2 linked regions of the Neurospora crassa OR74A genome follow. The protein of the gene in region 2 purifies or fractionates together with the protein of the main gene of each other region. This does not show direct contact. Links are inferred from orthologs where the notes say so. Each region holds a gene or a part of one and is shown on either strand. Other genes may lie near its edges.

Region 1 (4,523 bases), on a different chromosome or scaffold from region 2:
AAGGGGGGGCTACCTTGGTGTGACAGGTGGACGGTGGCCAAGAACTAAGGTACCTCTAGCGCAGGTAGTAACAAATGTCCTTTGGAGATCCAGTACTATGTACACCTACCTATCAGTGGCCGCCGCGGCTGACAACTAATACTACGCCAAGTTACCTACCTATTATACCTCTGTGTACACTAGACTAGTCTGATGTATAGAAGGGATGTACCTCGCCAACGGCAGTGCTCTTGTGACAACACGGAGGGTTTTGAGTCTTGCTCCTGTCCTTTTTTGTTTTTCGTTTTTTTCTCTTCAAGAACAGATATCGCTAATCACAAACTTGTATGCATGTGCTTACCTATGCAAATTTTAGGGGGAGCACATTTGGAGGTCGACGTACCTCCCGAGACGCAGTCTGATGTCAAAGGCACCGGGCAGCCGGCGTGTCTCCATTCGCGGCCTGGGCCCGAAGCCAAATAGCAACTACCACCGGGTAGCCAATCGAGAGACATCCGGCCGCTACGCTCAGACAACAGGATGAAGCGACCAGAGAGGCGTCAGTATTGTGCACTCAACCCATTTGTGGTCGCTGTAGCAGACTGCAAAGCAAAAAAGACATTTCCCGGAACGCCTCTGCTATGATTTTTTTTGAACTCGTTGGCCGCGAAACGCTTCTAGTATACATGATCTTAGATTACCCTCCATAAGATTTTGTCTTTCCGGTCCGTTCCTGACATGAGGTGAATGCGGTGTGAACCGTCGCCAATTACATATCCCTGATATCTGACCCTCCCTCTCCAACTGCCCATTGTACATAATAGGTAGATGTATAAGCGGGCGGCTTCACAAGTGCCTCCCACCCATTTTTCTTTGGTATGCGTCCACTTGGCGAAACACAACGTTAAACCAGAGATGAGGATGCAGAAATATAGCGAAAGAGGCAGTATTAAAAAGATAGAAGAAAATATAGAAAAAAAAAACCGAGTGGACACTCGAGCACAGCTCACTGAGTGCCCTCCTTCTTCTCCTCCTTGGGAGCAGCATTGGCTGGTCCGTCAGCCGGTCCGCCTTGTTGTCCTGCTGCTGGTTGCTCTTCCGCCTTCTTGTTCTCCTGCATGGCGAGGTTTTGTATTTCGTTCTTGTCCTTCTCCCATTGGCCAGTGGCGTCGCCAAAAGACTCCTTCATCTTCTGCTCCTTCATCGCTTTCTCCTTTTCCTCCTTCTCGCGAGCGAGTCTCTCCTGCTCCATTTGCTGCCGACTGTTAGGGACCTGTCAAACTTGCATAACCAGATGCGTGATTGCTTACCTCCATGTGCTTAATATCGTCTACACTAGGCTCGTACAAATGCCAGATAGTATAATGAGGAAGGCCAACAACTGAGAAGCCCATCCTTCTCGACATCTGTTACCATAGCGGTTAGACGGATCCAAAGACGCGGGAAGGCCTGACGAGCTTACCTTTCCAAAAGCTTCTGTCTCGGCATGTTTTTCGAAGCTGAACGCCGGGAAGTGGACGCCGTAACGGAAAACCTTGGCCTTTGCCAGAATACTCACTCCACCAACGCCATCGATCTCCATTTCCATGTCGGGATCGCCATAGGGGTCCCGGAGATATGCGAGATGGGGACGCCAGGTAGCATATTCTGCGTATCCCTCCACGATAACTGCATCTTCGTCGAGAGTATCCGCGAGTGCGAGGGCGGTTTCGGACTCGGCCCAGGAGTTAAGGTCGTAGGGCTGTTCTCCGCCCAGCCAGTCAGGTAGCGGACGCCAAACATCTAAAGTCCGGTTAGCATTTCCAGTTATCCTTTCAATATCAGCTAAGGGTTCAGGAGGCTTACTTGGCACAATCACATCCTTGTTGTGGCGCATCAGATCTTCCAAGATCGTGGTAGGCGCCGTCTCCACGTCGACATCACGCCAGTAGACCCACGAATGATACGGCCGAAGGGCGGCGCTAAGGAGCCAATTTCTAGCTTGGGCCATGAGCTTTCTTCTGCTCGCCTGCGCGGCGAAACCGTGGCGGCTTTCCACATCCTGATTAACTTTTTGTCCAAAGTCTTTCTCGATGATGGAGATTTCGCCAAAGTGCTTGGACGGGTCGGTGCTAGCTTGAATAGCCGTAAGCTCGCGTTCAAGAACCGCCAAGGTGTTGTCTTTCGAGTCCGAAACAAGGAAAGCGAGATCGATCAGATGGTGAGGATACGTCAGGTTGAGGAGGTGACCGAAGAACATGGGCATATGCACTTCGGCATCGCGCAGCGGCACGCAGATCAAAATTCGCTCCTCTCTCTCCCATCCTTTCGCGGTGCCCTGCACGTTAGACAGGTCGTAGTATCGCACCGTCTCGAGTTGGAAATCTTCAGAACCGGAGCCAAGCCAGGAGAAAGACCCCGAATCGCCGGGCCAAACGAACAGCCCAAAGAGAAGTAATGATACCAGCGCTATTGCCAATCGCAGGAATAGTCCCTTCCGTCTTCGAAATGGTGGTGCCGCGCCTCGAGGTTGGAACCTGTGGAATGATAGGAGGCCGCTCCCGTCAGCTTCCAACGTTCGTTTCGTTCGCCTGGTGATTCAGGGGGCGGGGGGCACTTTACCTGTGAGGAGAAATCTCAAAGGTGTTTCCTCGCGGGTACCCATTGGAATATCCGCTCGCATGGTGTCGAGGGACCGCCTTGGACCCGGAGGAAGATGCGTACGGCAGCATTGGGCTGTTTGGTGATAGATGGTCGCTGCAGGGGCGGCCAATATTATCGAGCACCTCAACCCCCCTTTGCGCACACGCAGGGTACCTGAGTCCTGCGAACCGGAAATGCTAACAGATGCTGCAGACTGGGCGGTCTCTCGCTGGATGTTCTCGACGCACGCGCTGCCGAAACTGTGTCGAAATGATAGAGAAGGGACCAGGCCGGTTCAGGATCAATGCATCGCGGTCAGAGAGAAGTTTGGGCGGAAGATCAAGACGATCGCGTTCCTGTAGCACCGAGTCGTTTGATAAAAAGCTGAGGTGTTCGCACCGGGCTGTGGGCAGCTTGACGGATCGATACACGTACTAAGTACCAGTCCAGATAAGATTGGCGGGTTGGGATGGATTTCTTTACCAATGGCGTCGCAAAGTGGCCCGGCCGTTCGACGGGGTCCTGCCAATTGTAGCGCATTTTGCACCCACCCACAAATGACCCCAGACTTGACGCCTTGGTTTCAGGGGTTCTAGTGCAGTGTACAGGATTTAAAGTCGCCAAGGACAAGGCTCCAGAATTGACGGCAAAGTCGACCTGAAACAGTGGCAATGCAAGTACCGTCGAGTCTGTGCCGTAGTTATCATCTGTGTGCAATACAGATGGGTACATCAGGGTGTGTCTTCAATTTATTTGATGTTCAACCTCGAGACACAGATGATTTGAAGGGAAACCGGGCTTACGTCGCGGCAAGTGTCCGGTCATTCGTTCTACTGGGTTTGGACTTCTCCTGCACATCATCAAGGGCAATATCTTGGGTCTGATTGGAGATAATCAACTATTTTGCAACTCTTGTTTTCATTGTTCTATCCTTGCTGATATCTTGAAGCCCTATGTAAATGTCAAGGACAGGCACACCGTCGATCCTCAACTACATCCAATTTTACTGGGGTCATTGAGTTGTCGAGTCATGAACACAAACCTTACCTCGTCAAAGATGCGTTGCAACAAAACGTATGAAACGTTCACGCCATCAACTACTGACCGGTCAGTTCAAGGTCATACGCGAATCGGCATCGAGCAGAAGGCGAAGACGACACAGATCAGACAAGCCGTTTTAACTCAGCCCTACAAAGCCGGCCCAAGCCTCCCACGCCCCAAAACGGTGCGCAGGAGACTCGGACAACGGAAGCCAAATGACACCCCGAAGGGAGACACCACAACTAGTCCTCACGCCCCGAAAGACGCTCCAGTGCGGATGGATGGCTCGGCCCGTACATATCGTTGAATGGATAGACTGTTGTCATCATTGTGCATGGGACAAAGGAAAAAAAAAAAAGGCAAAGTACCTACCAGATGGGCATGTCGACTCTCCCACTAGACGCAAGATCGTTTTCAGATCCTATATAACTTGAAGTTTGTTAGCCAACTTGCTCGCAGCATGTGTGGTGAGGGCTGTCGTTGCAAGAAAGAGTTGGGGTGATTGCCATATCAGAAGGTTTTGGTATAATTGGTTATCGCTCATTATTATTCAGAAGCAGAACTGAAAATATTTTGTTTCATCATGGACAATCGGGTGGGTGATGATGTCAGGTGGGGGAAAGAAAACAGAAAGGAAAACAATGTGATGCTTACCTAGTGGGTAGAGACTGAGAAAACGGAGTGGAACAGCAACGGTGACAATAACAACTTTGTCTGTACTATTGATTGTCAGTCAACGGTTCCTCCAAATGAGTTGCAAGTGAAGGATGTGTTGAAGGAGTAGTCAGATGGTAGTGCATGTTTGTTCGATCGCTCAGAGATTATCGCGAGAACTGTGGTTATGGGATCATCATGAGATGTGAAAGGCAAGGGGAAATAAA
Region 2 (4,553 bases):
GCCGATATGTACAAGCAGGCGACAGAGTAGCGCTGTCGAGTCGAATGAAGGAAATAGAACCGAAATCGGATGTCAGACAATTCTCAAGTAAGGGTAGCCTTCTGCAGCCTGGAGTATCCCGTAATGTATTGCGGGCCAGATTCTGAGTATCCGATAAGCAATTCCGAAGATGTGTATCCGTGGCGTCGAAGGTGTCTACGGCCTGTCCGATGTGAAAGTATGACTGAAGGAACGCGGAGAAAAAGGCAAGGCAAATGGCGAAGATTAGGTTGGTGGTAGTGAATGTCTGGTCGGTTGGCGGGCCGATTAATTAGTTGAAAGTAGCGCAATATACTGGTAACCAGAAGGGAAAATGGATGCGTAAATGTGTGACGGAAGAGTCGCCAAAGAAAGTTCGAGGGCGGGAAACGGTTGGATACGAGGATGGAGGAAGGATTAGAAGGGAGACTGAAATCGCGAAGACGGACATTGGGACGTGAAACTGAAATGTTGGACTTGCGCTGGCAGTTGACCAGATGACACTGCATCCATTCATGCTCCCTGCTCTTTCCTCTCGTTGTTGAAGATTATGGTCCGGGACCGCGGCAGGGATCAGCAGCCCAGGGCAGCATTGGAACGTCAGGCGGACGTGGGGCGAGCTTTAATGAGACAGGCTATTAGACTCTCCACTCTGTAAGGCACTAACTGAATGCCACCGCACTCGGCCGCGGATGCAGTTAGAGAAACCTGTGGCTCTACATTTTCGGAATATGTAAGGTATTCGTAGACCTCTTGGGTAGAGGTAGGTGAGGTGAAGCCGAAGGGAAGCTTCTTTTAGGTTTACGAACTCACTACACAAGGGGAAAGTACTGATAATTTGCATTCAATTCTTTAGTCAAGTATAGGTATCTGGAGAGAGAGGCCTTCACGGCGACGCTTCTACGGGGCATTCAGGCCTCAGCAAACCACATAACTCGCCAGGAAAGGGGGGAAAATCCCATTTGAATGAGAATTAGAAGTGCTGCAAGTTGTTTGGTTTTGTGAAGCCCTAGTTCAAAGGCAGTCACAATGGCTCTAGAAATGATACCCCGGATTTCATCCGTTTTTAGAGTATCTACTTAGAGGTAATTCTTAGCTACCTACTTTGGTTGCGCCTCGATCGATGCTAATGGCGTTCCACCCTTGCTGGCGCTGCAGTGACAGGCCTTGAGTTTCTGGTACCGCTCAGCTCCAAGCGCCCGGCCTGACGTTCATTCATGTACTAGAGGTAGTACCCCAAATCCATGGGCCGCAGTGGGTCAGAAACGCAGTAACCCAGAGGCCAGGGGCATTCAACGAAGCGTCTTCCCATTCTGACAGACGTGACCCCATCATGTAAAAATGACATACCTCTAGTCACATCTCACACCTTTGGCTCGGATAACCAGAAATTCATCTCCCATTCTTGGGCTTTTGGGTCTGAGTGTGGGGGCAACCATACTATTCCAAAGAGTGGCAAAAAAATACAATGTGAAAGAACATTGAGTTGCAGTGCCGAGGTGTTATCGACTTCAAGGTTGATCGGGAAGTTGATTCTTTAAAAAGACTGGGCTGATGTCCAATCAAATGTACTACTAGCGAGTCTAGCTTAACTGAATGCTTAACAACAGTGTCTTGGTCAGTCAGCTTTGGATTTTTGCACTGTGAGCTTTTCTTACTCAACTGCAGGGGCCGAGCCACACACTGCAGCGTCACGGGCCCTCCTGAAACTATGTAAGTAAAGTAACCACGTTTTCCCTTTATCGAACTCCCGTCGCTGATGACAACAACGGAGGAGCTTGTTCAACCTCGACGACCACGACACCAACCATTTGACTCGACGACGGCGACGACCACGACCACGACGACGAACTTATAACACCGCCACTCATTCATACGTCATCGCGAGTCCATCGTGTAGCGCCTTTCATAAATACGACCTTCAATCAACACACCCACGACCAGCCGCCGACCTCCTCGCCAGTCGCGAATTAGCCTCGCTCCCGCCGCATCCCCCGGATCCGCCCATTTCCACTTTGCCAATCCATAATCTCCTCCGCAAACTCGCAGCCTACGAGTCGCATTCGCCCCCGGTCACGATTGACAAAGTTGACGACGTCTCGATTCCTGACTTACGAACTCCGACGTGTTATTGATTACGACTTAACCGCGTGCCGGTTGCTCAGGGGTACACGCGCCCCTCTACGACCCATTCCCCGCGATTAGCTGTTGGAAACGGACGGACTACCGCCTCAGCATATACCGATACACCTCTAATTATGGCTGTCTTTGCCATCAACGACCGAACGGAAGAGTTCCGACAGATTGTTGCGGCTGCCCAGCGTAGGCAGGCCACAAAGCCAGGAAAGCAGCGACTTCTGGACACCGCTCAACAACATGCTGCCAGCAGCGATGCCCAGCCCAGAAGGTCTGAGTTTGCGAGGGGGGCTGCAGAGATTGGAAGGGGTATCTCTGCGACAATGGCCAAGCTGGAAAAGCTAGCACAGCTGGCCAAGAAGAAGACTCTTTTCGATGACAGGCCGGTCGAAATCAACGAGGTAAGCTGGGTCATGCGCTTGATCTTTGCGCGCCTCGACTCCATAACTGGCTGGCTAACCATTATGTTAGTTGACCTTTGTCATCAAGCAAGACCTGTCTTCGTTGAACGAGAAGATCAGGAACCTGCAAGATCTCTCTAGACGTCTGCACCCGAAGCCCGACCAAGAAGGGGAGAACAACAAAAACATTCTCCTGCTCCTACAGGGCAAGCTGGGAGATGTTGGTGCTAATTTCAAGGACGTGCTCGAAATCAGAACCAAGAACATTCAGGCGTCGCGGTCGAGGACCGAGAACTTTGTCTCGTCAGTAGGTCAGCACGCACATGCTTCCTTGCAACAATCTGCGTCACCTCTGTACGGCACGCCTAGTAGGGGAACGCCAGCACCAGGGCAGCAAGATCTGATCTCGCTGAACCCGATGGGAGATCAGCAGATGCAGCTCCAGATGTTGGAGGAAGGCCAAAACACCTACGTCCAACAACGAGGGCAAGCGATCGAGGCCATCGAGTCGACTATCAATGAGCTGGGTTCCATTTTTGGGCAGCTCGCGGCCATGGTCAGCGAACAATCTGAGATGATACAAAGAATTGATGCCAACACGTAGGTTTGTCTCGAGACGCTCGACACACCAGCACTGTACTAACACACCATGCAGAGAGGACGTGGTAGAGAACGTCGAAGGCGCGCAAAAAGAACTGCTCAAATATTGGAGCCGTGTTTCAAGTAATAGATGGCTCTTAGCCAAGATGTTTGGTGTTTTGGTAAGCCCAGTATTCCTGCTCTGTTACCTATGCCCTGCATAAAACTCTAACGCTGTGCGACTTTGTAGATGATTTTCTTCCTTCTCTGGGTATTAATTGCCGGGTAGACGGCAGTTGTGGCGGCGTTTCAGTAATATTATACTTCTTCTTTATAATGCATGCAGAGGCGTCTCTTGTAGACTTTATGCATTAATTATACAATTTCTCTTCCTCATGAAGATGCGGTTCTTTTTTTGCATGCGCTCTTCCATGTCCTTTCACTGTTCCACAACATAACCTCTTGCAAGGCTGATAGAGCTCAGGTATACCTCTGGATGGTCGGTGGGGGCATTTGATTATTTATACCTACTTGCCGAGGAAGTTGGCTTCAGCATAGGGATCAAGACTCAAAGTTCGCTCTCGGTTCATCTAAGGTCAACAAATACTTAACCGACGGAATTCGCTTACGCTAAATGCCACCAATAGAGGAACAGGTTTAGACTAAGCACTCCACGCCCCCAGTTCCTGCAACTGTAATCATTTCAGTTCCACTCAGCTTCGGTACCTGGAACTAATGCTCTCCGCTCGAGCCCCAGAAAGAAACCCAGAGCAAGCGAACACGACGGATCCACTCGGCCACTCACTGTTACCACTATCTATAGTAGAGCGGACCGACACCACAGCAAGGTCTCATTCCGACAGAGGGGCAATCGTTCCGCCGAGGCCCTTGTTAGATTCAGCCAAGTTTCGCGGGGTAAGGTGAGAGGATGCCATCCGTTCCATTGACCGGATGTTTGTTGCTGGGGCTATCTTTGGCGAGGTTGTCGATATCCCACCTTCGAAGTACTGTCTGATATCTTAACGAAACGCCGAATGCCATCGAGTACTGACTAAACACGAAAAGACAGAAGCCCCGAGTGCCGTATTTCTGGACGCCTCAAACCCAAGTTCACGATGTTCGAGTTACACAATGGCGTGTCGATGTTCCGTTGTTACTTCCATCCACGCTGTCCATGAATAATTACAGTCGGAATTTCAGGTCTCATGATTACCTAGTCAGGTACAGACAACATGAAGAAAAAGAATCATTACAAACATGTAGCTTTCTCGGAATCGATAACACCATAACTATCCCCCACGCTCTAACGCCGATTGCCATTTAGCCGAATGTCCAGTGTGGCTCAAACCCTGGACAACCTTCTCCTCGAACGTAACTTGATATAACTGGTCAATCCTCCTCTGTCTTTCCTTTCCACTC

The links.
Region 1: the proteins of NCU01907 (region 2) and NCU08024 purify together in Saccharomyces cerevisiae (affinity purification with western blotting; 3 studies listed by BioGRID, with this or other methods). This does not show direct contact. The link is inferred for Neurospora crassa OR74A from reciprocal best matches to the Saccharomyces cerevisiae genes SED5 and ANP1.

What each region holds. Positions count from the first base shown.
Region 1 is NC_026504.1:3,953,142-3,957,664, forward strand, and holds NCU08024 (mannan polymerase II complex ANP1 subunit), read right to left. Parts: upstream 3,022-4,523; 5' UTR 2,691-3,021; coding exon 2,581-2,690; intron 2,496-2,580; coding exon 1,825-2,495; intron 1,762-1,824; coding exon 1,442-1,761; intron 1,386-1,441; coding exon 1,290-1,385; intron 1,235-1,289; coding exon 986-1,234; 3' UTR 578-985; downstream 1-577. UniProt on the Saccharomyces cerevisiae protein: Involved in the organization of the secretory pathway. Required to maintain a functional Golgi apparatus.
Region 2 is NC_026501.1:2,073,374-2,077,926, forward strand, and holds NCU01907 (syntaxin 5), read left to right. Parts: upstream 1-1,745; 5' UTR 1,746-2,276; coding exon 2,277-2,555; intron 2,556-2,625; coding exon 2,626-3,155; intron 3,156-3,210; coding exon 3,211-3,316; intron 3,317-3,384; coding exon 3,385-3,423; 3' UTR 3,424-4,054; intron 4,055-4,199; 3' UTR 4,200-4,462; downstream 4,463-4,553. UniProt on the Saccharomyces cerevisiae protein: Required for vesicular transport between the endoplasmic reticulum and the Golgi complex. Acts as a target organelle soluble NSF attachment protein receptor (t-SNARE).